Linked DNA regions of Anolis sagrei. The protein of the gene in region 1 interacts with the protein of each later gene in a pairwise test. Links are inferred from orthologs where the notes say so. Each region holds a gene or a part of one and is shown on either strand. Other genes may lie near its edges. The genes, in order: NFE2L2, MAFG, MAFF and TNNT1.

Region 1 (7,377 bases):
CAAACTTTTACCACTTTAGCAACAGATGAAGGCTTTTGTAGTCTCCATGGTTTACAACACTATTTTATTGCCGTTTGTATGATGCTGGATTCAGGCATACCATAAAAAGAACACTGTTGGACAAAGTTGGGTTTTGCAAGCTCTTCCGTCCCTCCAAAAAGTTGCTCAAGCAGATTGGGGAAGTCACCAAAAGAGTGGGAGGTGAGACTGGCTGAAGGGGAGAAATCCAGTAGATCAACTCCCCCACAAAAAGAATGGAGGGGGGAAACTGTGGGCCCTTCCACAGAGCTGAATAAAATCCCACATTGTCTTCTTTGAACTGGGATACATGGCAGTGTGGACTCAGATAACCAAATTCAAAGAAGATATTGTGAGATTTTCTGCCTTGATATTCTGGGTTATATGGCTGTGTGGAAGGGCCCTGTGATGATAGCAAAGTGTAGCACTAATGCAGTTTGATCCTTTAACTGCCATGGCTCTCAATGCTATGGTATCCTGGGAGCTGTAGTTTGGTGAGAGACCCGCAAATATTCCACATGGCTCTGTAGACTACTGACATCAGATGAAAGCCATTATGTACATTATTGTTCTAAATATGAGAGGCTATTTCCTGTTGGCAGAGAAGGCTAAAGACCTTGTCAAACTGCAACTATCGTGATTCCATAGTCTGGAGCAATGGCAGTTAAAGTGCTGTCATATAGTATTAATTCTACAATGTGGATGCACCCTCTACTCTTCATCACACTTGAGAATGAATCCACTTAAAATCCGGTATCTGCCTCCTGCAGAATGCTGGGGTTTGTAGTTTAGTGAGGCTGTTAAAGGATCCTCCCTAAACTACAAACCCCAGCATTCTGCAGGAGGCAGAAACTGGATTTTAAGTGGATTCATGTGCCACCAAAGTGCCTATGCTTTCTTATTTTTAGTAATATTAGTAAAAGTAAAGGTTTCCCCTTGACATTAAGTCTGGGGGGTTGGTGCTCATCTCCATTTCTAAGCCGAAGAGCTGATGCTGTCCTTAGACACCTCCAAGGTCATGTGGCCAGCATGACTGCATGGAGCACCATTACCTTCCCGCTGACATGGTACCTAGTGATCTACTCACATTTGCATGTTTTTCCGAACTGCTAGGTTGGAAGCTGGGGCTAACAGAGCTCACCCCGTCCTGCGGATTCGAACCGCTGACCTTCCAATCAGTAAGTTCAGCAGCTTAGCACTTTAACTCATTGCATCATCACAGCCCCATATTATTACCGGAAAGCAAATGAAGGGCACAGCCCTGTTACCTAAAAGTGATAATTCCTTCTAAGCACAAAGGTAAAGAATTTGCTGCTTTATGAACGTATTGAAAAAGTAGCAGCAGCTCCATGGAAAGTCTGCCTCCTTTCAGTAACAGTCTAAATATCTTACTAGACTGCACATTTTGCAATCTTTTTGTGCATTTATTTATTATCCTTTTGGGTTTCCCTCAATCACATATTTTATTCCTACCCCATCCAGGGTTTTATCATTTTATCTCGTTCATTTGGCCTGTCCATTTTGTTTCAATTTTATACTGTGCTAATTTGCTTTATTTATGTTATTTTTGCTACTATACATATTTTATTCTGATGCAATTTTGATTGTCTGCAGTCTGTATTTTACTTTTTGCTGTATTGTATTTTTGGGCTTGGCCTCATGTTAGCCACCCCGAGTCCCCTTTGAGGAGATGGTTGGGGGGTATAAATAAAGTTTATTACTATTATTATTATTATTATTATTATTATTATTATTGCTGTTGTGTCAGGAGCGACTTGAGAAACTGCAAGTTGCTTCTGGTGTGAGAGAATTGGCCGTCTGCAAGGACGTTGCCCAGGGGATGATTTGATGTTTTTATCATCCTTGTGGGAGGCTTCTCTCATGTCCCGGCATGAGGAGCTGGAGCTGATAGAGGGAGCTCATCGGCCTCTCCTCAGATTCGAACATGTGACCTGTCAGTCTTCAGTCCTGCCAGCACAGGGGTTTAACCCACTGTGCCACCGGGGGCTCCATATTATTATTATTATTATTATTATTATTATTATTATTATATGTATATAATAGATCCAGATGTGGGAAAACAAAGTGGTGAAGCAACAAGAAAAACAGATCCAGGGCGCATCTCCACCAGGCCTGGACAAACTCTGGCCTTCCAGGTGTTTTGAACTTCAACTCCCACAATTCCCAGCAGCTAGGGCAAACTCTGGTCTTCCAGGTGTTTTGGACTGCTAGGAATTGTGGGAGTTGAAGTCCAAAACACCTGGAAGGCCAGAGTTTGCTCAGGCCTGATCTACACTGTAGAATGAATGCACTTTTGACACCACTTTAACTCTTATTGATCCATTCTACATAGTTATAGGACTTCTGGCTTTTCTTTGCCCTTCTCTGCCCAAGAGTGCTGGTACTTCTCCAAACTACAACTCCCTCGTTTCCAAACCAAAACAGGGCCCCTTCCTCTTGTCAAGGCCGACCGAAGAGCCAGTGAGTCAGCGCATTCGAGCCTGGCTGTGACGTCACGGCCTAGAGGGGCGTGGCTTAGAAAAAGGAAAAAAAATAACACCGGCTTGGACCGCTGTGGCGATCGCAGCAATCGAGGGGGCGTGGCCTATCCTTAACCCCGCCCCCTTTCCTCCCGCACGGAGGTCTCTCTCTGCCCCGCCCCTCCTGGGGAAGGGGATCCAAGTACCCCTAAAGTGAGCCTCACCTGCGGCATCTCGACCTCCATGGTGACGTCACTGGCGATGACGCAACGGGTTCCACGCCGGGTGCGGGGGGGGGGGGGGGAGAAAGGGAGAGTGAGAGAGAGGCTTCGCCGCCTAACGAATCAAGCGGACTGAGGCTCTTCCTTTTCTGGACGGGACGCTTTAGCTGCCTCTCTCCGGCGGTGACGCCGACACAGCCTTCTCCTCCTCCTGCTTCTCCTCCGCTGTCCCTGTCCCGCTCTGCTCGCCCTCCGTCCGTCCTCCCTGCCGGGAAACCACCAGCCGCCTGCCCCGCCTTCTCTCCCTTTCTCCCTCCCTCCCTCCCCCCGGAGAAGGAGGGGCCGAGCCGGGAGGCCCTCGCGGTTGGTCCACACTGGAGGATAAACCCACTTTGGCACCGCTTTAACTGCCTCAGTGCTGTGGAATCCTCGGAGTCGCAGTTCAGGGAGCAGAGAAGGCTCAAACCCTTGCAAAAGGGCCAACATCCCATAGCATTGAGCCATGGCGGTTAAAGTGGGGTCAAACTAAATTAACCTCACAGTGTAGACCAGGCCTGGGCAAACTTGGGCCCTCCAGGTGTTTTGGACTTCAACTCCTACAATTCCTAACAGCAGCAGCAGTTAAAGTGAAGTCAAACTCCATGAACTTCACCGTGTAGGCCAGGCTTGGGCCCTCCAGGTGTTTTGGACTTCAACTCCCACAATTCCTAACAGCCGCGGCAGTTAAAGTGGGGTCAAATTGAATTAACCTCACAGTGTAGACCAGGCCTGGGCAAAGTTGGGCCCTCCAGGTGTTTTGGACTTCCAACTCTCACAATTCCTAATAGCTGGTGGAATTGTGGGAGTTGAAGTCCAAAACACCTGGAGGGCCCAAGCTTGCCCAGGCCTGGTGTAGACGCTCTGGGCCCGAGTGAAGAGAGAGGTGGCCAGGGGACAGTTCCACCTTGTCTCCTGCATGATTGTGTTTAATATGCTACTGTTTTAATTGTTTTTAACTGTTTTATGGTGTTCTGAGCATTGAATTTTGCTATTGTTAACCACTTTGAGTCGCCCGAGGGCTGAGAAAAGCAGTATACAAATATAGTAGATAAATAAATATGTCATCAGTTGGGGACCCCTCCCCCCCCCCCCCCCCCCCCAAGAAATAACTGCTGCTCTGGGCCAGAGTGAAGAGAGAGGGGAGCAGAAGACAGTTCCACCTTGTCTCCTGTGCTAGGCTAATAATATAATATATTGTATATACATATAATATTATGTAATGAAATATAATACTAATAAACATAATTATATGTTTATATTACATGTAATATTACTAGTAATATCACAATATAATGGAATAGTACACTATAATAATATTTAATATTGATATTGTACTATGCTAATAATATATTACCCGGTGGCATAGTGGGTTAAGGCACTGAGCTGCTGAGCTTGTTGACCAAAAGGTCGCAGGTTCGAATCTGGGGAGTGGCATCAGCTTCTGCTGTCAGCCCCAGCTTCTGCCAACCTAGCAGTTCGAAAACATGCAAACGTGGGTAGATCAATAGATAACGCTCCGTCGGGAAGGTAAATGGCGCACCGTGCAGTCATGCCGGCCACATGACCTTAGAGGTATCTGTGGACAATGCCAGCTCTTCAGCTTAGAAATGGAGATGAGCACCGACCCCCAGAGTCGGACACGACTGGATTTAATGTCAGGGGAAAACCTTTACCTTATGTATATATATCTTGTAAGCCGCTCTAAGTCTTCTTTGGGGTGAGAAAGGCAGCATATATATCATAAATAAATATTTCCCATCTGTGAATGGTGTGGAATCCATTGAGGCAGAATCCATGGATATGGAAGGCCAACTGTACATCATGGAGATCGGTTACTGTTGTGTGCCTTCAAGTCAATTCTTACTTGCAGCAACCCATCCTGAGTTTTTTCTCTGACTTACCCAGTTGGTTTTCATGGCACAGTGGGGATTGAAACCCATTGTTCAACACTCAAACCACTGTGCCGCACTACAGATGGGACTCAAGTCTAACAATGACATTTCTGTTTCATATACAGTCTATACATGTCACCTGAAAGTAATTCTTCCATCAAGGAACATTCATATCCACTAATCTGCAGACAATGTTGTTGGAGCATGCAAGGAATCAGTGAGTCTGTGTGTGTCAACTGTAAAATAAGATGAAGCTCATTCGTCGGGCAATGCCCAAGGAAATGGCTAAGCCTGGGACTTTTGGCTACTGTTACATTTTTGTTCAGGCTTTAGCTATGCAAGTGCAGAGAGAAACAGTTTGAAGAGAGAAGCAGTTTGGAGCGTACTCTCGCTTCATGAGCTGCTGAAGGAGTTTATCCACATGGACCGAGAAAGACCATTCAAATCTATGTATATAATAAAAGGCAGTGTTTGTATGTGTGCGGCAGGCAGTGTATGTGGCAGCTTTCAGATTGGCTGCCAATTCCACAGGCGAATGCAACCTCCACAAATAACTGACCTGGACCAAATTTGGCATGCATGACCCACTTTACATCCTGGTGCAGTTTGGAGGAGGATGGGCCATGGATGATTGGATTTGCAGTACCTTCACTTACTTCCAGATATCACTACAACCTCCAGGAATGATGAGCCTGGGCTAAACTTGGCACACAGACCCAATGTGGCCCACTTAATGTCCTGGTGCAGTTTGGCAGGGGACCCAACCACAGATGATGGGATTTGCAGTATCCTCATTCAATATACCTCCCCCACTCCACTGCGATGCCCACAAATGACAAAACTGGACCAAATTTGGCACACAGAACCCCTATGACCCACTTTACATCCTGGCATGGTTTGGAGGAGGCAGGACCATGGATGATGGGACTTATAGTACCTTCACTAACTTCCAGAGAACATTGTGACCCACACCAGTGACAGATCAAAACCAAACATGGCACACAGAGTCTCCATGACCCACTTTATGTCTGGTATAGTCTGTGGGATGACAGACCATGGACGATGGGACTTGCAGTACCTTCACACACTTCCTGAAGCCACTGCAACTCACACCAATGACTGATCAAGACCAAACCTGACACACAGAGCGCCCATGATCCACTCTACATCCTGGTTTCGTTTGGAAGAGGATGGACCACAGACAATGGGACTTACATATGGGAGTTGTAGTTCACCCACACCCACTGAACCCAGTCAACATTGGATCTAGACTAAACTTGGAGCACAGACAAATAATGCCTTTCTCAAATAACCTGGGTCCTCAAGCTAGTCTCTCATAAAAAGGACTTTATGTAAGTTAATGCAACTGATCACATTTTATATATATTGTTCTCAACTAAGAAGAGTAAACTACTTGTTCTTTACTGTTCACCTGCGTGGCATATTTTCTTTCTCTGGCAAGGCTGTGTGTGGGCTGATCAAACGTGAACTACACGTGGTTTATTTTACATTACGCCACAAATGTGACACACCAGTTAATGCATACCCCATATTGTTGTTGTTTTTTTTTTAAAAAAAAAAGCCAATGATACCTGCTGTTCAATTTGGTAGCTGCATTTTATTACATAAGGTCACAAAAGTATTTGGGGTTTTTTTTTCATTTATTTATTTACAGCATTGGAAACTAGGCTCTGTTGGAAACCCTACTTGTGAGGTGTGTTGTTTCCAACACACCTCACAACCTCTGAGGATGCCTGCCACAGACGTGGGTGAAACGTCAGGAGAAAATGCTTCTGGAATATGGCCATACAGCCCAGAAAACTCACAGCAACCCAGTGATTACAACCATGAAAGCCTTCGACAATTATGTGAATATGCTTTGTGTTCATATAAAACCTTCTATGCACTCTACTTACACACACACACACACACACACACACACACACATATATATATAATCAAAATCCTTTATTTCTGTTATCTTTAACCTTTCACATATTTGTTTAAATTCTACTTCTATGCTTATCATTCATGTTTTTACTGAGTAGAGTGAAACTGATCTTTGTAAAACCTATTGCCGTTGTAGCTATGACACCCAATAAAAGTTTGTTTTGTTTTGTTTTTAAACAGGAAGAACAGATCCATTTCTCTATTGATTTATCTACACCTTGGGATTTCTCCGGCCTCTTATTATTATTATTATTATTATTATTATTATTATTATTATGGTACAAATTAATTGTTTGGAATCACTGCAAAAATGTTTGTGGACATGCCAAGGCCCAGAAACACTGTTTGGGAGGAATATATTTTAGAGCATGAGTAATGCAGTCATGCTGGCCACATGACCTTGGAAGTGTCTATGGACAACGCTGGCCCTTCAGCTTAGAAATTGAGATGAGCACCAACCCCCAGAGTTGGACACGACTAGACAATGTCAGGGGAAACCTTTACCTTTACTTAAGTGAAACCATGACTGTTGAACATTGAATAATTGGATAATAGAGTTGGAAGCAACCCCATGGGCCATCTAGTTAGCCTGTGTTTAAAACCTTCCAAGGAAGGAGTGTACACCACACTCCCAAGCAGAGAGTTCCACTGTTGAACAGCTCTGACAGGTGGAATATGTAAATAAGGGATCATACTATATGTTCTCTATCCCATTCCTACAACTGCGTAAATATGTTTCAAAACACAAGGATTTAATATTACTCTGTTGCAGCTGAG
Region 2 (7,302 bases), on another chromosome or scaffold:
AAGTGCAGCCTCAACACATTTCGCCAGGACTCAAAAGGCCTGCACTCAGCACAAGCACCGCCAATTCTTCGCTCACAACAGAGCTGACAGAGAGTGCATGATTCAACACAGGCCCCATTCTCAACATTCCTGGTTCACAGAGCAGTGCCATCAAACGAGTGTAAACATGGTGACGTCATCCATTCCAGCAGTAAAGACAGCCCATCACCGGAGGCCCAGCTGTAAGGGATAAAGAGGGCGGCAGGACGGGAGCAAGGGGGGACCAGGAGCTGGATGACAGCCCACAGTGGGAGGCTTCCCAACAGGTGTAGGACAAAAAGTCTCCCTAACATAACCCTGTATTTCTTTAAAAGCACATAGCCACTGACATCCATTTAAAGGAAGGTATCAAACTGAGCTTCCAAATTATCCTTCAGAAATATAGTGATCCCTTTGTCAAGAGTTCTAACCTGGGAAAGGAATATGAACTCAATGATATCCAGTAAGACTTTCAGAGCTGTATGGTCACCAGAAAATCTTATCCCCTCCAAGAAGACATGACTCCCCTGTACAGTGTATTTATATACTAAGTGCTTCACCATTGCTTTTGCTGTGAGCGTGCCTCTTAGTCAGCAGAACTGGTGGGATGGGGACCTAAATTAGTTGTTCCTACATGACCTTAGACTGAGATGCCAGCCTCATTACTTAACATCACTAAGCTAAGCATACAATCAAAATGAAATAGAACTTCATTCATTTCCCTGTTTCTTTGAATTCTTGCTTCAAGCCCTGACACATCAATTTTGTTTCCCATTTGTCATAAACACCTTATGGCAACACGAGATGTGGAGCCAACCTTAAGAAATTGGGCTACAAAGTAGAGTCCATGACATGCAAGTGGGGAGAAGAGCAAACCACAGACCACTTACTACAGTGCAGCCTGAGCCCTGCCACATGCACAATGGAGGACCTTCTTACAGCCACACCAGAGGCACTCCAAGTGGCCAGCTTCTGGTCAAAGGAAATCTAGCATAATGCCAAGCTTTTAACTTTGTTTGTGGCATTTTATACATTATAAATGTATTCTCAATTTGCTTCTGACACAATAAATAAAATATATAAATACCTCACGTTATTTCACTTATCTAAACAGAGGGAAAACTGTCCACATTGCAGTATTTTAGATACAAAAATTGGAAGACTTTTGCACATCACCCCTTCAAGACCGGCAGTATGATCTCTATACCACACAATCCCAACATGCAGTAAAGGGTACAACACTACCCAATGCTTCCTCCAAGAAATGCAATGTTGTAGGTAGGTTGTTTTGTTTTTAAATCAAGTCTGCCTCCTAACTATCTTGACTCAATTTATCCCTGTTTATGATGCCCCCTATAATATTTTTTAAAAATCAATTTTCAAGACAGGAATAGATATGCAAATGACACAGATCTGTTATAGGAATACCAAGTTTCACCTACTCTGCAGTCTAAATCAGGCAACTTTCCAGAGCCCTCCTAACTTACTGTTTTAAATCCATAGGTTGGGACAGGCATGGACAAACTTCGGCCTTCCAGATGTGTTGGACTTCAACTCCCACAATTCATGACAGCCGGTAAGTTGGCTGGGATTTCTGGGAGTTGAAGTCCAAAACACCTGGAGAGCCGAAGTTTGCCCATGCCTGGGTCAGAAGCATATTAAACCAAGATGGCTAGCTGCTTTTACCAGAAAACATCCCATGCAAACACATCTGGAGCACAAGATAGACACTGACCATTCTGTCCACCCACCAACTGGCAGAGGACAGGCTGCCCTCCGGAGTCGTGGCTGCAGGTGACGATGACAGGCTCCAGCCAGGTTTGCTATGGGAAATGTCCCACTAGGGATGCAGGTCCCTTCCACACAGCTGAATAAAATTCCACATTATCTGCTTTGAGCTGGAATATATGGCAGGATGGACTTGGATGACCCAATTCAGAGCAGATATTGGGATTTTCTACCTTGCTATTCTGGGTTACTTGGCTGTGTGGAAGGTCCCTCAGATAAACCCGTTCCAAGCAGATATTGGGGGGTGTCTGCCTTGATACTCTGTGTTATATGGCTCTGTGGAAGGTCCCTCAGTAGAGGACAACATGCACTTGTTGCACAGATGTGCTCCATCCTACAAATCTCTAGATGAAAGCCCTCCCTGCCATTTCAGTGTGACACAATACCAACCTCTTTCACAGGGCCCTTGTCTAACAGCAGAGACAGAAGTAGTCCTTCCCATAAAGCTGTCCTTTTTCTTCAGGACCAAAGCCAATAAAAACAGAAGAACCATGGAGACGAGGTGCTTAGGGCAACATGTAAACTGCCTGGCCCAAAATGGCCCGTAAAACTGTCCAGGTGAAAGTATATAAAACAATAATGTCTGCTACAGATGGCAGCACAGAATGACTATGTTAGCGACAGCATTTGACAACATCAACAGAATGATACAAGACAGGAGTAACTACCGTACGGACAGAGACATAAAAAGGCATGATTCCCACTCCTTGGGAAAGGCTCAGAGTCTCTGTTCCCAGTAAAAAAGACAGCGGAGGATAGGCTGCTGTCAAAAACAACCCAATGTGTGCCTGACCCACCTTAAGCACCCACAAGTTTTCAGAAAAGGATCTCTTGCCAAAAGTTCTGCCAAATACCCCTTCTCCGCTTGGTCATCGTCATGGGCACCCTTCTGTCCTGCCAGGCTGCGCTTCTCCCAACACACTCAATGCAGCCAAAGCAAAGGGGGGGGAAAGGGAATCTCAGGTGCTCCCCTTTTCCCACCCAAACTTGGCACTCTTCTCTGCCAGGAGATGAATCAGCAGGTCAGGTCTCTTCTGCAGCTGACCTATGGCAGCCCCCTCCCCCAAACTACAGCCAGACCCCCTTCCTTTTTGTGTATGTGTATATGCAGCATTTACCTAGTGGTGACCTCATGTTGATGAGTCAGCAATGTCACCCAGCAAGGCTCAAAGGCGGGAGGTGGTGCAAGGGGGTGAGAGAGCCCCCTCCCCTTGATCCTCATGCCCTCCCCTCAAATCCTCACTCACAGGCACAGGCTGCTCCCCCTGCCTCCCCCCCCCCCCACAGACACCTGATGAGTCAGCACCACAAGCCCTTCCACTCTGCCAGACATGGCTGCACAAGGGAGAGGGAGAGGGAGAGAGGGAGAAGGAGGAGACGGCCAGCCTGCAGGCAGCCTCTCCCCTCCTCTGCCCCAAGGAAAGGAAGGGAAGGAGCGGGCACACACTCTCGAATAATAACAACAACAACGATCACCCAAGGACTGGCTGGGGAAGGGGAGGGTCAACTACTTTTTCCTCCCCGCCGCAACTCAACAACAAAAGAGATCCGGGAGGAAACGGGGGAGCATTTCTAGCAAGGAGAAGCTGGAGGGGGAGAAAACAAACCAGGGCAGGCTTCTCCCACGCCGCGAGGAAAAGGAAAGAAAGGCAGAGGCAGAGGGAGGGGGAGACAAGGGAAGCCCACCCACCTGTCAGAGACAAGGCGAGGCGCAGCAGCAGCAGCAGCAGGAGCAGGAGGAGGAAGGAGAGGCCGCCTCCCGCTCACCTGGGCCCACACCTGGAAACCCGCGGGAAAGGGAAAGGAAAAGGTGGGGGGGGGGGGATGCAAGGGTGGCCTTCCCGGAAGCACACGGACCCAGGAGGGAAACTCCACGCAAGACTACATGGCGAAGGAGGGAAGGAGCCCCCTCCCCAGCACGCGCGCACAGGGCACACACCGCGCGCGCGGCCTCTCCTGCCCCGCTGCCTCTTTCTTCCTCCACGCACACACACACACACACACACGCAGGCAGGCAGGCAGGCTCCCTCCGTCTTTCCCTTCAAAGGCCGGGAGGAGGGGAGGGGGCCCCGGCCTCTCTCTCTCCCTCGCTCACCCTCCGCTCGCTCGCTCGGTGCCGCCGGGGAAGGGGAGGGCCGGGCCGGGGCGGGGACGGGGAGGCCGCCACGCCGCTCAGAGGGACCGAGAGTCCGGGGCCCGCCGCCGCCACCGCTGCTCACGGACGCGTCACGTGATGTTTGGGTCACGTGCCTCCATTCATGAAGCCAGTCGGTGCAGCCGCCCAGGGGAGGGATGGATAGAGGTAGGGATGGATGGATGTAAAGACTCGCTCCGGGAATCATAGAGTTGGGCAAGCGCCGCGTGCAGGGGCCGCCCAGCCCCAACCCCAGTCGCCCTCGCAGGGACAGCACAGTCAAAGCAGCCCCGACAGGTGGCCAGCCAGCCTCCCCACACCATTCACAGTGGTCCTGGCATATGATGTTTTTCAAGTTTCATAGAATCATAGAGTTGGAAGAGACCTCGTGGGCCATCCAGTCCAATCCCCAATTGCATTCAAAGCACCCCCGACAGATAGCCACCCAGCCTCTATTTAAAAAACCTCCAAGGATGAAGCCTCCACCACACTCCGGGGCACAGAGTTCCACTGCTGAACAGCTCTTACGCTCAGGAAGTTCTTCCTAATGTTCAGGTGGGATCTTCTCTCCTGTCATATAAACCAGTTGCTCCACATACTGGTTTCCAGGGCAGCAGAAAACAAGCCTGCTCCCTCTTCCTTGTAATAATAATATTTATTATTATTATTATTATTATTATTATTATCCCCAGGATACCACTCTTGGAGGACCATCATCCTCGGACTACGAGGGATCACCTAAGTAAAGTAAAAGTATTATTATTATTACCTACTCCCTCTTTCTTGTATTATTATTATTATTATTATTATTAGAGGATTAAAAGATAAAACTGCAAAGACTCTGGCACAAGCCAGTAAAGGTGGTCTCAGTGGTGATCAGTACACTGGGTGCAGTGCCTAAAGACCTTGGCCTGCATTAAAAAACAATCTGCGCTGACAAAATTACCTTCTGTCAGCTGCAAAAGGCCACCCTACTCAGATTGGCATGCATTATTCGCCGTTACATCACACAGTCCTAGACATTTGGGAAGTGTCTGGCATGTGATCAAATATAAAGGCCAGCATAGTGAACTTGTTTGCTGTGTACTTATCTTGTTATGTATCAAATAATAATATTTTTATTCTTATATCCTGCCACCATCTCCCCGAAGGGACTCAGGGCAGCTTACATGGGGACCAAGCCCAGCATAGACAAAGATTACAAGGTAACACAATTAAAAACATTTAACAATAACCAGAACAATAAAACATTATAAAAATGACAACCTTTTACATATTTATACATGGCCATTGTGTCTCCTCTCAATCTTCTCTTCTGCAGGCTAAACATACCCAGTTCTTTAAGGATTCATGGTCTCTAGGCCTTTAGTTTTAGTCGCCCTCCTCTGGACACCTTCCAGCTTCTCTTTTGAACTGTGGTGTCCAGCATTGGACAGAGTCTTCCAGATGAGGTCTGACTAAAGCTGAATACAAAGGCACAGTGACTTCCCTCAGTCTAGACACTAAACTCCTGTTGATGCAGCCCAGAATCCCATTGGCTTTTTAAGATGCTGATTACACTGTTGGCTCATGTCCAACTTGTTGTCTATGAAGACTCCAAGATCTTTCTCACATTTTGTATTGTTGCATTTCATTTTTTTCTGCCCAAGTGTAGTATCTTACATTTGTCCTTGTTGAAATTCATTTTGTTAGTTTTGACCCTTCTCTCTAATCTGTTAAAGTCATTTTGAATTCTGATCGTGTCCTCTGGAGTATTAGCTATCCCTCCTAATTTGTTGTCATCTGCAAACTTGATAAGCACGCCCTCTAAACCTTCATCCAAGTCATTAATGACTATATTGAACAGTACTGGGCCCAGGACCGTACCCTACGGCACTCCACTAGTCACTTCTTTCCAGGATGAAGAGGAACCATTGGGGAGCACTCTTTGGGTTCACTCACTTAACCAATTACAAATCCACCTAGTAGTAGTATTGCCTAGCCCACATTTGATTTGTTTGCTTGTATGAAGTTCATAGCAGAATTTGACGAAGGCCTTACTGAAATCAAGATATAATACATCCACAGCATTCCCAGTATCTACCAAGATTGTAACTCTATTGAAAAACGAGATAAGATTAGTCTGACATGACTGGTTTTTGAGAAATCCATGTTGTTGTTTTTATTAATTACAGCATTCCTTTCTAAGTGATTGTAGGCTTCTTCCTTAATAATCTGCTCCAGACTCTTTCCTGGTATTGATGTCAGGCTGACTGGACGGTAATTGTTTAAATCCTCTTTTTGTCCCTTCTTGAAGATAGGGACAATATTTGCCCTCCTCCAGTCTGCATTTCTCCAGTTCTCCAAGAATTCTCAAAGATTATTGCCCGTGGTTCTGAAATGACTTCTGCTAGTTCTTACAATACCCTTGGACATAGTTCATCTGTCCCCGGAGACTTGAATTCATTTAGAGTAGCCAGGTATTCCTAAACTACTTGCTTACCTATTTTGGGTTGCATTTCCCCTATTACCTCTTCAGCTTCGTACTGGTCAGGTTGAACACCAGTCTCCTTTTGGGAGAAGGCTGAGGCAAAAGGGGTGTTTGGCCATATAAAACTATAACTAAAGGCCATATAAAACTATAACTCCCAGGACTTCATATAATTGAGCCATGGCAGTTAAAGTGGGGTTAAAATCACATTAATTTGATGCATCAATTAGCATTTATATTGTAGAATTAATGCAGTTTGGGCTCCTAGCCTGAGCTCTGGCAGTAGGTTATGGATTAGGCAGACCCCTTGCTGCTACTTGGCTGCTTAAGCCCTTTGGCGACAAAATGGAAACTGCATTGGCTTTGAAGCATTTGGACATGTACACACAAATACCCCAAAATATAAGGCTCAACATATAAAGGCCAATTAAGAGTTTGCATTCTTCATTATACACAAAGGTGGACAGGAAAAGTGATTTAAAGATGGGCTCAAAGCCAACCTTAAAATCTCTGGCATAGACACTGAGAACTGGGAAGCCCTGGCCCTTGAGCGCTCCAGCTGGAAGTCAGCTGTGACCAGCAGTGCTGCAGAATTTGAAGAGGCACGAATGGAGGGTGAAAGAGAGAAACGTGCCAAGAGGAAGGTCGTCAAGCCAGCCCCGACCGGGACCGCCTTCCACTTGGAAACCAATGCCTTCACTGCGAGAGAAGATGCAGATCAAGAACAGGGCTCCACAGCCACCTACAGTCTCACAAGAATTCTGATCCTGGAAGACTATCCTACTCGGCCAACGAGGGATTGCCTAAGTAAAAGTAAGTAAGTAGTATGCACAAAGAAACACACTTCTGAAGTGAATGAGAGATTTCCCCACACCTGTACAGTGGACCCCAT
Region 3 (6,864 bases), on another chromosome or scaffold:
CTCAGCAGGGCTGTAACTGTGGCTCTTTTTAGACCAGCTAGTTAAGCTACTACTCATTTCCACACTGCAGTCCCATTTGAGAAGGCATGTTGCTATTGTGTAAGAGGGAAGCTGAGCTTTGAGGATATATATATATATATATATATATATATATATATATATATACACACACACACACACACACACACACACACACACTACCTGGCCTGCTTAGTATCAGTCAAGAGAACCAGCTAGGCCAGTTTCAAACCAGGTATTTTCTAGGGCTGTCCAGACCTGGGTGCAAAAGTATGGGAGACTAGATGTCTACCAAGATTGCCACTGATGCCATTCTTGAATCTAAATAGTGGACTGTTGCTCAAGGAGTCTCTGAGAACTATATTGGGGTACATCTACACTGTATAATTAATCCACTTTGACAACACTTTAAATGTTATGGAGCACTAGGAGTTGTAGTTTTACGTGGTCTTTCAGCCTTTCCTGAGGAATAGCGCTGGAGCTTCACCAAACTACAAAACCCAGGATTCCACAGCATTGAATCATGGCAAGTAAAGTGGGGTCAAACTGCATTAATTCTATAGGTAGATCAGACATAGGCAAACTTGGGCCCTCCAGGTGTTTTGGACTTCAACTCCCACATTTCCTAACAGACTACTGGCTGTTAGGAATTGTGGGAGTTGAAGTCCAAAACACCTGAAGGGCCCACGTTTGCCCATGTCTAGTTTAGATGCACCCTAATATGTCCTTGGACACTTTGTGTCACCTGTAGATTTCTGGCAACCCCATGCATTTTATAGGATTTTCCTAAGCAAGGAATACTTGGAGGTGGCTTTGTTAGTTTCCTCCTCAGACATATCATCTACAACCCTAAAGGTGCCGGATCCCATCTGATCTTGGAAGCTAAGCAGGCTTAGTCCTGGTTAGTACTTGGATGGGAGACCATTAACTAATACTAGGTGCTGTATGCGATATTTCAGGAAGGAAGTGGCAAAACCATCTCTGAGTATTCCTTGCCTAAGAAAAGTTCATGAAAGTGATGGGATTGCCCACACATAATCTGGGACATAAATATGAAAAGTAAATAAATACATGCACTGTGAATGACGTCTTTATTTTGATGATGGTAGTTATGTGTCCTACTTTATGGAAGACAATGAATACTCTTCCCTTTGAAGGTGCTCTTTATTTTACGGGTGTGGAACGATTGGCCCTGGAGGTGTTTGGGACTACAGTGCCTATCATCCTTATTGCTTTGCACGGTGGTTAGAGGTTTTGGGACCTGGAATCCAAAACATCTAGGATATGTTGAATATATATATATATATATATATATATGACACACACAAGAGTGTCTTTATACTACAGAGCAGGCATGGGCAAACTTCGGCCCTCCGGGTGTTTTGGACCAGCTGTAAGGAATTGTGGGAGTTGAAGTCCAACACATCTGGACTTCAACATTTTTGAAAAGTTTGATATATATTAATTGAGATATATATGTGTGAATTTGCAATTGTGTTTGTAACTATAACTGTATTTGTAATTGAAACCAAAGAAGAAAGAAAAAATGTGAAGAAATATTGTAACTGGTTTTGTAACAAATGATTTTGAAAATGTAAATATTGCAAACATTGTAAATACTGCAAAATTAAGTATGTCTCAATTGTAATTGTTAGTAAATGTGTTTGTAGTACATATTTATTATAATAAAATTACGTGTGTGTGTGTGTGTGGATAAAAATACTTATTTCCAAAACACCTGGAGGGCCGAAGTTTGTCCATGCCTGCTATAGAGCTAATGCAGGTAGACACCACTTAACTATCAGAGCTCAATGCTATGGAGTCCTGGGATTTGGTGACATTATTTTGCAGAGAAGGCTAAAGGCCTTGTAAAGTAGTGTCAGGCTGCATTAATTCTACAGAGCAGATGCAGTCCAGCTACAAGGTGTGCATTTGTTAGCCAGGGGCAGCCAGCAGAGCCCCGAAATTGCGCACCGGCAACTAACATCTGGACAGCAAGTACATAAGTCACCTACTCACCATTTCTCCCCACTGTGGTCCACCTATGTAAATATTTATGCTTTTGAATGTGCAAATTTTATGCAAATATGCAGTTTCTTTCGCCCTTCCTTTGATGTACTGTTTACATGCCACTTCAATCTTGACAATATAATTCATATACCAAGTTCTTGGGAACAGCAAGAACATGGGACTTAAACTTCCTTTTCCTTATTGCTTATCAAAGCTTGGGCATGTAAATGTTCCAGAAGAGCAACATCCACATGCCATTTTGGGTCAGTGCCCAGTAACCAGAATTACATGCCTAGAACTTACATTAAACATGCCTTTTATTTATATTATGTGTGTCATTTTGAACTATGGATGCATCTCCATTGTAGAATTAATACAGTTTGACACCACTTTAACTGCCATGGTTCAATGCTACGGAATCCTGAGAAATGTAGTTTCACAAGGGCCTTAGGCTTCTCTACTGAAGAGTTTGGTGACTCACCAAACTACGTTTTTAAACTGTTGTTGCAAGTACAGCAGTTTAAGATTGAAGGTGCATCCAGGGGCGGCTCAACCCATTATGCAAAGTAAGCATTTGCAGCATAGCTGATTTTGCCCAGGGGCGCTCTTGAGGTGCTCTTGGGGGAAAATAGACCTTGACATATGCGAGTTGTAGTTACTGGGATGTATAGTTCACCTACAATCAAAGAGCATTCTGAACTCCACCAATGATGGAATTGAACCAAATATGGCACACAGAACTCCCACGACGAACAGAAAATATATATCAGTGATTGGTTGGGGGGGGGGGGGGGGGCAAAATACTGTTTGCTTCCTGTTGAAAATTACCTAGGGCCGTCTCTGGGTGCATCTACACTGTAGAATCATAGAATCAAAGAGTTGGAAGAGACCTCAAGGGCCATCCAGTCCAACCCCCTGCCAAGAAGCAGGAATATTGCATTCAAATCACCCCTGACAGATGGCCATCCAGCCTCTGCTTAAAAGCTTCCAAAGAAGGAGCCTCCACCACACTCCGGGGCAGAGAGTTCCACTGCTGAACGGCTCTCACAGTCAGGAAGTTCTTCCTAATGTTCAGATGGAATCTCCTCTCTTGTAGTTTGAAGCCATTGTTCCGCGTCCTAGTCTCCAAGGAAGCAGAAAACAAGCTTGCTCCCTCCTCCCTGTGGCTTCCTCTCACATATTTATACATGGCTATCATATCCCCTCTCAGCCTTCTCTTCTTCAGGCTAAACGTGCCCAGCTCCTTAAGCTGTAGAATTAACCCAATTTGTCACCACTTTAACAACCATGCCTCAATGCTACAAAAGCATGGAAGCTGTAGTTTTACAAGGTTTTAAGCTGTCTCTGCCAAAAAAGTGCCATTCCTTTACCAAGCTACAATCCTCATGAGCCATAGCGATTGAAGTAGTGTCAAACTGTCCACACTGCCTTATATCCCAGTTCAAAGCAGATAATGTGGGATTTTATTCAGTTGTGTGGATGGTGCTGAAGATGGGAAGCAATACCAGCCCCAGCCGCACAACCTCGAGGTGCGTGTCCCTTTAAGAACCCCCATGCCCGGCTCCAAGATGGCGCCTGCCTTTGCCCTCTGCTCCGCCCGTGCCCTTCACTAAGATGGGGAGGGAGGGGAAAGAATGATGTCATCGCATGACTGTGTTTTTATGAATGAAAAGAATCCTGTGAGTGAGTAATTCCAGGAAACTCATATTACAACTCAGCAGATCGCTCAGCGCGCAGCCCAGCTCAGCCCTTTCTCGTCGCGGGGAAAACATCCACTTCGCGATTTTTGGGGTTTTTTGGTTGTTATTTATTTACAGAAACAAACCAGGAGAGCCCAGAAGGGGGAAAAGGAGGCAGAGGAGGGCAACGAGGAAGGAGGAGGAGGACAAGTCAACAAAAGAAGTGAGTAGATTGGTTTGTCACTCTGGAAGGGAAGGAAAGTTACAGCAGGAGGGACTTTTAACCCCAATGCCTTTTGCTAGACCATGAGGAGAGCAAGAGAGAGCCTGGAAAATATCTAAAAATAATATTTCTGCCCTTTGGTTGGATCAGGATGGCAGAGAGAGGCGAGAAAATGTCTTGTGTTTTGAGGAGTGGCTGGGGGTGGTTTCCTTCCCTTGTTCCAATCCGGGGCGTTTTGAAATAAGATGTATTTATTTAGATTGTTGTTGCTTATTGTTGTTTCCTTGGATCTTCCCAAAATCCACTCGGTTCCCTTTCCCTCCAGCCTTTCCCCACTGGTGTCTCGAGGGTGCTGCATTCACAAACAAACATAAAAATAGAGCAGGAAATCGCATAATAACAGAGGAGTTACTCATGGCTCCTGTTCACCATGTGGGTGCACGTGTTGAGGCCTGGGTCACATGGAGTCCTAGCTGGCTCCAGTTTCAAACTGGGGTTTAATGGGGGGGCTTATAAGGTTAGCGGCTGAGGGGGGAAAGGAAAGGGCCTGAGGCTGTGAGGAATGGTGGGAGTTGGAGTCCAAAACACCGTTTGCCCATGCCTGGTCTAAAGCAGTGGTTCTCAATCTGTGGGTCCCCAGATGTTTTGGCCTTCAACTCCCAGAAATCCCAGCCAGTTTACAGGCTGTTAGGATTTCTGGGAGTTGAAGGCCAAAACATCTGGGGACCCACAGGTTGAGAACCACTGGTCTAAAGGATTCTCAGACGAGCATCTGTCAGGAGGGCTTTGATTATGGCATTTGGGTTTCCCTTCCTTCCCTCTCTTGGGTTCTGACATCCATCCCTCCTTTAATGGGAGGGGGAACCCAATAGGGAAATGCCTTCACACAGGATCTATTTCTGCCCAAAGAATGGATCTATATCAGGCCCAAACAAATTTGGGCCCTCCAGGTGTTTTGGACTACCAACTCCCACTATTCCTAACAGCCTCAGACCCCATTATTTTCCCCTTCAGCCGCTTAAGAATGTCAGAATGTTGAGACTGGCCAATCAGAAACCATATACAAATTAGTAGGTCGAAATAGCTCATGCATGAGCCAACTTGGGCCCTCCAGGTGTTTTGGACTACAACTCCCACTATTCCTAACAGACTCAGACCCCTTTATTTTCCCCTTCAGCCGCTTAAGAATGTCAGAATGTTGAGACTGGCCAATCAGAAACTATATACAAATTAGTAGGTCGAGGTAGCTTATGCATGGGTCAACTTGGGTCCTCAAGGTGTTTTGGACTACAACTTCCAGCAATCCTAGCAGCCTCAGAACACTTTATTTTCCCCTTCAGCTGCTTAAAAATGTTAGAATTTTGAGACTGGCCAATCAGAAACCATATGCAAATTAGTAGGTCGAGATAGCACATACATAGGCCAACTTGGGCCCTCCAGGTGTTTTGGACTCCAACTCCCACCATTCCTAACAGCTTCAGATCCCTTTATTTCATAAAGAAAGTATTTATTATTATTATTATTATTATTATTATTATTTTACTGACACAAAATCACAGTATGGCACAGCAAACGAGATCTATATGCTGGATTTCGTATCACAAAATCACAAGTCAAACTTCCCAAGCGTCTAGGACTGTGTGATGTATATTATTATTATTATTATTATTATTATTACATAACATTAAGCCATGGCAGATAAAAAGGTATCAAACTGCACTAATTGTACAATATATAGATGCATCCTCAGTTAACAGGTGCTTACGGGGATTGATAGAAGCCGGATAAATGGATTCTCTAGTTGCTTGGGATTTGCTATTATAAATAAAAATAATACGTACTATACCATAAACCCTTGTCTTGACCTGATATTATTAATGAAATGCAGCAATTTAAAGCAAATTTATCTCAACTAAAAATAAAATTTCAGGCAAAAATATATACATATTAAATTTATTATTTCTTTGATTTTTTTGCCAGTTGTTTAAGATCTCTGGTTACTTGAATTTTGGTTAACCGAGAGTCTACTGTGTTTTAAAAAGCCACACTTAATGTCTAAAGTCCTGGGGGTCCAAATTTTTCTCTCTGGAAGCAAATTGGATGGGCCACTAGTTTCTTTGTTTTGGAGTCATAACTAATTGTCATAGTTGGGGTTCAGGAAGGAATCCAGCATGATATTGTGGTTTAGTTGGAGACCAGGATTCAAATCCCTAGTAGCGTGTAGAAACCCATTTTGTTGAGTCTTAGGGCGCCTCTACACTGTAGAATTAATGCAGTTTGACACTACATTAACTGCCATGGTGAAATGCTATGGAATCCTGGGACTTGTAGCTACACACAGCCAACTTCTGTTGTGCATCCCAGGGTCTGTAGTTTGAGCTATGACAGTTAACAAGGTGTGAAACTGCATTGACGCCAGTATAGATTTTTATTTATTGTATCAGAAGCAGATTGATGGTACACTGTGTAGAAAAACCACAAAGTTAAAAATTTGGCATCATACTAAATGTCCTTTGACCAGAAACTGGTCACTTGGAGTGCCTCTGGTGTCGCTGTGAGAAGGTCCTCCATTGTGCATGTGGCAGGGCTCAGGTTGCATTGTAGTAGGTGGTCTGTGCTTTGCTCTTCTCCACACTCGCATGTCACGGACTCCACGTTGTAGCCCCATTTTTTAAGGTGAGCTCTGCATCTCGTGGTGCCAGAGCGAGATGCAGCCTCAACAGGACGGAGACAGCAAACCCTTCTAAACCAATCTTGCCAATAAAACTGTGATAGGGTGCCTTTGGGTCACTATAAATTGCAAATGACTAGAAGGCATGAACAGCAACAACAAAAATAATCCCTTTAGGCCAAAACGTGCTGGAAATCTTGGAGCATTTGGTTGTTTTTGCCTGTTTCATGTGTAATACATGTATCACCTGTCCAGGTCACCCA
Region 4 (7,032 bases), on another chromosome or scaffold:
CCTGACATTTCACCCACATCTATAGCAGGCATTCTCAGAGGTTATGAGGTCTGTTGGAAACTGACCTCAAGCTGGCCAATTACAACATTCACACCTACCTCAAATAGACAAGAGTTCTTTCTCCCACCCTGGACACTCTACAGATATAGAAACCCCACTTGCCTAGTTTCCAACAGACCTCACAACCTCTGAGGATACCTGCTATAGATGTGGGTGAAACGTCAGGAGAGAGTGCTTTTAGAACATGGCCATACAGCCAGGAAAACTCAGTCCAAAGTGCCAAAGTAGTTTGCACCAAAGAGATGAGGGGCAGAATATTGCCTTTTCCAGTAGGTCCAGGCTAAAGCAAATTCCTGTGTGCTTCATCAGTAAACATGTGCAGCACTTTGAAGCTATTTGGTCACATGCATTCTCTTTCTGTGTGGGAAATGTTGGAGGGTATGTCTTGTCTTGAGTCAAGGCAGAGCAATGTGATTTGTCTTCTTCGCTGCCTTCTTCTTCTACTTGTGTCTTCCTCCTGGGTTGGCCCCCCACCCCACGAAGGACGGAGCGAAGGAGAGTTATATACCTGGCTCAGGAGCTGGCTCAGGTTCTTCAGTCACTGCAACCAACACACATCACAGGGACAGGATGTGGGGGGAGGAACAGAGGCAAAGTCGGGAGAGGTAGGAGGAGAAGAGAGAAGGAGGTTGTAGGGGAAGGACCAAATCCAGGAAAGAAAGGAAAATGCAGTTAGAAAAAGGCATCTACAACAGCCATCCCCAACCCATTACCCTCCAGTTGTGTCTTTGGGCTACAAGTCCCATCGCCATGCTGTCTGTGGCTGATGGGACCTATAATCCAAAACATCTGATGGGTAGAAGAGTTGGGGAGACTGAGCTACAGGATGGGGGTAAAGGGGGACAGGGAAATTAAAAACACTTGTTAGCCAATGAGAAGGAAGCCCACCCACCACTTCAACCCTGGTTCTGGGGAGCAGAAGAATGGAAAGAAACCATAACAGGTCTTATCCTTGAAAAGAAGAATGCTCTGCTCAGCTTTTTCCCCTTTCTCCATTCATAGAGAGTGATTTGGTTGCATGCTTGTATGGTGTTATTATTCTTTTCCTTGCCTCCAAGAGGCACAACAAGTTTCATGCCTTTTATTCCTCATTCTCTTAATTTTTTGTGTGTCATGAGTGTCTTGAGAAACTACAAGTCGCTTCTGGTGTGAGAGAATTGGTTGTCTGCAAGGACATTGCCCAGGGAACGCCCGGTTGTTTGATGTATTACCATCCTAGTGTTAGGCTTCTCCCATGTCCCTGCATGGGCAGCTGGAGCTGACAGAAGGAGCTCAACCCACTCTCCTTAGATTTGAACTGCTGACTTATCAGTCAGCAGTCTTACCAGCACAAGGGTGTAACCCATTGTGCCACTGGGGGTTCTCTTCTCTTAAATGGTGGTAGTGAAGAATCACCCAATAGGGGCTGTGTTGGAGGGGGTTTAAAATTGGAAACCAATGCCACATTTGGACTGTGTTTTCAATAAAAAAATAATGCACATTACTCAGAATGGATATAAGACACACATCTGTTCTGTGGGTAGATATTGAGATTGGGGAAAAAAGGTCAAGAGAAGAAAAGCTTGGTTATGACTGAAAGGCGAAACAAACCACCATGACCATGGTGTGAAACCTGGTTAAAGGAAAAAAGGAAAAATGATGTTACATCGGTGAAGGACCTTCTTCAAGCACCTAAGAGATGGAATGCTGGTCATAAACATAAAAGAGTCTGAACACATATTGGACCAAGTTAATACACAGAATGGACCCTCTGGTGGTGCCACATGACCTTGGAAGTGTCTATGGACAATGCTGGCTCTTTGGCTTAGAAATGGAGCTCAGCACCACTCCACAGAGTCGGACACCACCAGACGTAATGTCAGGGGAGATCTTTATCTTTACCTTCATAACACAGTATACTCTTCCCCAACCTAGTCCCCTCTAGTTGTTTTGAGAAAACAACTCTCAACGTCCTTGTCCAATTCTAGGAGTTGTGGGAATTGTAGTACACCAAGTCAGACAATGTCAGTGATACTCGATCAGTTCAAAGGAAAATCCAGGAATATAAGAGCATGTGCATTTCTATGATTCTCCTCAAGCTGAAAACCAGAAGGGAGAAATTTGAGGAAATGAAAGAACTATAAAAGACCTGAAGAGTAAAGCCAGATCTAACCAGTTCCAACCAAAATGAATACACCTCCATGCCATAAATGTAAACCTGCTTTTTGCTCCCTTGGCCTCATTCTCTTTGGGGAGAAGAACTACAGTAGAGTCTTGCTTATCCAACCTTCGCTCCTCCAATGTTCTGTATTATCCAACGCAGTCTGCCCCCCCCCCTTCCCAGATCCACAGCTGTTTCAATACATTGCAAGGTTTTGGTGCTAAATTAGTAAATACAGTAATTATCACATAATGTTATCGTGTATTGAACTGCTTTTTCTGCCGATTTGTTGCAAAACACGATGTTTTGGTGCTTTGTAAAATCATGATGTAATTTGATGTTTAATTGGCTTTTCCTTAATCCCTCCTTATTATCCAACATTTTCACTTATCCAGTGCTCTGCTGGTCCATTTATGTTGGATAAGCGAGACTCTACTGTACTTAGAAACCAGGTTGTTTGGGGAGTAGGTATCCAGAGTTTCTTTCTTGCTACACTGTGATAGCCCACTGTCCATTTCTTGTATCCTAAGATTTCCCTTGTTATGAGAGAAGAGAGCTATAGTGCCTCACCAAACAACGAATCTTGTTCCTTAGGATTCAGGCACAGCAGTTAAGGTAATACCAGAATGCAATAACTATGAAGTGTGAAAGAGACCCTGGTTTTCTATGACGAAACCACTTCCTTAATCTATTTGATTCCAGCTGGATTTCTGTTTGCCACAAGCCTGGAAAAAAAGAAAGAAATGGAAATACTTGGGATAGAGGGATAAACAGATGAGGTCTTCTCACCTTCTTCTTCAGGTTGTTCCTCTTCTTTAAGAAACAGAGAGAAAGAGAGAAAGAGGGATTCTTAGTTTCATGTCAAAATGTAGCTCAAATGAATATGGATAAAAGTACAGGTTTTTTCCCAATCACTTAATGTTGCTGGCCGCCTCTGAGAACAAATCTAAATAGGAGGAATGTTCCCAAAGATAAGTTGGTCTTTAAGACTTTTATTTGCCTATCGTGCGGACAATAGCTCTTAAATTAAATCAGAAACAATGGAAAGTCCAGAAGAGCGAAGTAAGTTGAGCCTCCACTGTTGCTGGGCCTCCACGAAGATGGAGAAAACAATAATGATCACAGGTGTGAAAAAGAATACCATGGCTTTTTGTTTGATCAAGTTGATATTGTCATGTGCAAAAATACCTGGCAAAAAAATCTACACCATTAAAGCTTAAACAGAGGTAGATTAGGCTAAGTTTAGAGGAAAGAAGCAAATAACAATGACAACTTTCATTCAGACCTTTCAGAACGTCAACATGGGAAAATAACCAACTGATAATTGGTTACAACTATCAATCCACAGATAATACGGAGTGCACCAGCCTTCTTCAAATTGGCGACCGTCAGATGTGTTGGCCAATTTCTCCATCAGCTAAATGGCCATGCTGTCAGGGATTATGGGGGCTGTAGTTTTCCCCATTTCAGAAGGTGCCAGTTTGATGAAGTTTGGTGATGTTTAAATTTTTTAAAAATAAGCTGGAAACCAGCACCTGGAATTGATAATGAGCAAAAACAGATGGCTTAGATAGATATCCCTTACCTTCCTGCTGCTCCCTGGTGTGTGGAAAACGGGATTGGCAGGAGAAGAGAAAGAGAAAGTAAGAGAAAGAAATGGATATATACATTAGTGCATCCATCCTTCAGTGTTGACCCAAATATGTGGACATACTTATACTATATAATATAACCATGATATAGTATGAGTATGCCCACAGTCAATCAATGGCCATGGTTTGCTTACTCTAAAAGTCAGAGAATTGTTTTGGTAAATAAAACCCTTGATTCCATCATTGAAGTTTTATAGGATGGGAGCAATGGCAGTCAAACAGACTTGAATATTTCCAACATGCTGCATTTATGTCTCCTTTAAGGACCTGTTCCTAAGTAGATGACCCATGAACGGTACCTAGACCACTGAGGAACTGTTGTTGTTGTTGTTGTTGTTGTTGTTGTTGTTATGTTTATGTTTTTTTATACCTCACTTTTTCTCTCCACAATACTCAGAGCAGCATGGTTGTTGCATGTCTTCCCATCATTGCTACTCCTATGTTTTCTGCAAATTGAGACTATTTAACACTGTACAGATATAGAACTACACCCAAATACCTGGGATTCACTCTGGACCGTGCTCTGACCTACAAGAAGCACTGCCTGAATATCAAGCAAAAAGTGGGTGCTAGAAACAATATCATACGAAAGCTGACTGGCACAACCTGGGGATCACAACCAGACACAGTGAAGACATCTGCCCTTGCGCTATGCTACTCTGTTGCTGACTATGCATGCCCAGTGTGGAACACATCTCACCACGCTAAAACAGTGGATGTGGCTCTTAATGAGACATGCCGCATTATCATGGGGTGTCTGCGCCCTACACCACTGGAGAAATTACACTGTCTAGCCCAGGGGTCCTCAAACTTTTTAAACAGAGGGCCAGGTCACGGTCCCTCAAACTGTTGGAGGGCCGGATTATCATTTGAAAAAACACGAATGAATTCTTATGCACACTGCACATATCTTATTTGGAGTGCAAAAAACACTTAAAAACAATACAATAATTAAAATGAAGAATTTTTTTTAACAAATATAAACTTATTAGTATTTTAGTGGGAAGTGTGAGCCTGCTTTTGGCTGATGACATAGATAATTGTTGTTGTGTGCTTTCAAGTCATTTCAGTCTTAGTTTGACCCTGAGCGAGGGCCGGGTAAATGATCTTGGAGGGCCGTATCCGTCCCTCGGGCCTTAGTTTGAGGACCCCTGGTCTAGCCGGTATTGCACCACCTGACATCTCCCGGGAAGTAGCAGCCAATAGTGAAAGGACCAAGGCAGTGACATCCCCAGCTCATCCCTTGTTTGGGTATCAGCCAGCATGTCAACGACTTAAATCAAATAATAGTTTTCTAAGATCTACAGAGACACTTGCTGGGACACCCCAGCAAGCAAGAGTCCAAAAGTGGCAGGCTCAAACCCAGAACCTCAATCAATGGCTGATACCAAATGAGAGATTCCCCCCTGGGCACACAGAAGACTGGGTGACTTGGAAGGCGCTGAACAGACTGCGCTCTGGCACCACAAGATGCGGAGCCAATCTTAAGAAATGGGGCTACAAAGTGGAATCTATGACATGCAAGTGTGGAGAAGAGCAAACCACTGGCCACCTGCTGCAATGCAACCTGAGCCTGGCTATATGCACAATGGAGGACCTTCTTGCAGCAACACCAGAGGCACTCCAAGTGGCCAGATACTGGTTAAAGGACATTTAATCAATCAAGCTTGCAAACTTTGTGTTTTGTCTGTCTGTCTGTCTGTTTTGTTAAAAATGTAATACAACTGTCTGGTTGCTCCTGACACGAAAAATAAATAAATAGAACTACACATTCACTTTAACTGCCATGGCAACATCCTATGGATTTCTGGAATCCGCACTGTAGGGAGGGAATTTAGAATTATTCTGTAGAGAGCTCTAGTGGCTCACCAAACTACAGAGCCAATGGTTTCAGAGTGAGCTTGTTCCTGCATCTGGAATACAAACCAGTGGATTCAAATGACATATACATTAAGAAGAACTTCAAATACCTATACATTAAGAAGAACTTCTTTGCCATAAGGGCTTTCCAAATGTGAAATAGGACTCTTGAAGAATGGTGAACTCTCATGAAGGTCTTAAAACCAAGACTGGATGGGCACTTTTGTAGAGGGCTCTAGTTGTATATGGCAAGGTGTTGGGCTAGATTTGATCCATTCCAGTTCTATCATTTAATGATTCTATCAGTCATAATTAACACTGGAAAAACTTAATAAATTACAGAAATACTATAATTTAGTTGGAGCACTGTTACAGGGGGACAAAGGAATTGATAGCTAATAATGGGTTATGCCTAGCAAAAGTAATTTTCTTTTCTGCACAGTAAACACCGTGTAATTAGTGTCAATGCAAGTATGCTGAACATTCAGAAAAATGGGAGAAATGGAGAGGCCATGTCACTTCACCATCCCTGTTCAACTGTTTGGGTCAATTTCATACATTTTGGTTGAATTTCCCCAGATGTCCTTGAAACCATAACACTTAAAACTGGGCCCAGTTTCAAAATTCAAAGCTGCAGTTTCAAATGCCTCTACTTTCAAATGTGATTATTGGAATCTACATTGAAGGAGCCATTTGAATCTTATGTCTGGCAAGTCTGTGAATATGTAAAATATGACGTAGATGGAATAATTCACCCCATTATTCTAACCTCTCTGGATCTAATTGTATCTGTAAGTGGATTCTCAGAGAAAGCAAATTGATATTTCAGCTTGCTTGAATACCTCCCCCACCAAAAAATATGAAATATGTGTGGGTGCTTTCATTACCACACATTTGTGACCATGGTCCAGAGTTGGTGTTACTTACTCCTCATACTCAACTTCTTCCTCAGACATGATGACAGATTCTGTTTTTCACCTGGAAGAAAAGAAATGACAGTTCATGCTTTTGTGGAAAGGGCATACTGTTGCACTCTACATCAGGAACACCTTTTCACCCAGCATCAGAGTCCAGTATTGGCTAACTAGGTAAATGGTAAAGGTGTCCAAATCTGGGGGTTGGTGCTCATCTCCATTTCTAAGCTGAAGAGCCAGCCTTGTCCATAGACACCTCTAAGGTCATGTGGCCAGCATGACTGTATGGAGTGCCATTACCTTCCTGCCGGAGCCATACCTATTGATCTACACACATTTGCATTTTTTCAAACTGCAGAAGCTGGGGCTAACAACGGGAGCTCACCCTGCTCCCCAAATTCGAATC

What was found.
Region 2: the proteins of NFE2L2 (region 1) and MAFG interact in binary tests that used the Homo sapiens proteins (3 or more experiments, as listed by UniProt). The link is inferred for Anolis sagrei from reciprocal best matches to the Homo sapiens genes NFE2L2 and MAFG.
Region 3: the proteins of NFE2L2 (region 1) and MAFF interact in binary tests that used the Homo sapiens proteins (3 or more experiments, as listed by UniProt). The link is inferred for Anolis sagrei from reciprocal best matches to the Homo sapiens genes NFE2L2 and MAFF.
Region 4: the proteins of NFE2L2 (region 1) and TNNT1 interact in binary tests that used the Homo sapiens proteins (3 or more experiments, as listed by UniProt). The two-hybrid records come from large-scale screens. The link is inferred for Anolis sagrei from reciprocal best matches to the Homo sapiens genes NFE2L2 and TNNT1.

What each region holds. Positions count from the first base shown.
Region 1 is NC_090021.1:190,489,162-190,496,538, reverse strand, and holds the start of NFE2L2 (nuclear factor erythroid 2-related factor 2), read right to left. Parts: upstream 3,025-7,377; 5' UTR 2,744-3,024; coding exon 2,723-2,743; intron 1-2,722.
Region 2 is NC_090022.1:113,769,876-113,777,177, forward strand, and holds the start of MAFG (transcription factor MafG), read right to left. Parts: upstream 3,010-7,302; 5' UTR 2,941-3,009; coding exon 2,925-2,940; intron 1-2,924. UniProt on the Homo sapiens protein: Since they lack a putative transactivation domain, the small Mafs behave as transcriptional repressors when they dimerize among themselves.
Region 3 is NC_090025.1:164,302,921-164,309,784, reverse strand, and holds the start of MAFF (transcription factor MafF), read left to right. Parts: upstream 1-3,846; 5' UTR 3,847-3,930; intron 3,931-6,864. UniProt on the Homo sapiens protein: Since they lack a putative transactivation domain, the small Mafs behave as transcriptional repressors when they dimerize among themselves.
Region 4 is NC_090026.1:20,229,267-20,236,298, reverse strand, and holds the start of TNNT1 (troponin T, slow skeletal muscle), read right to left. Parts: upstream 3,011-7,032; 5' UTR 2,990-3,010; intron 1-2,989. UniProt on the Homo sapiens protein: Troponin T is the tropomyosin-binding subunit of troponin, the thin filament regulatory complex which confers calcium-sensitivity to striated muscle actomyosin ATPase activity.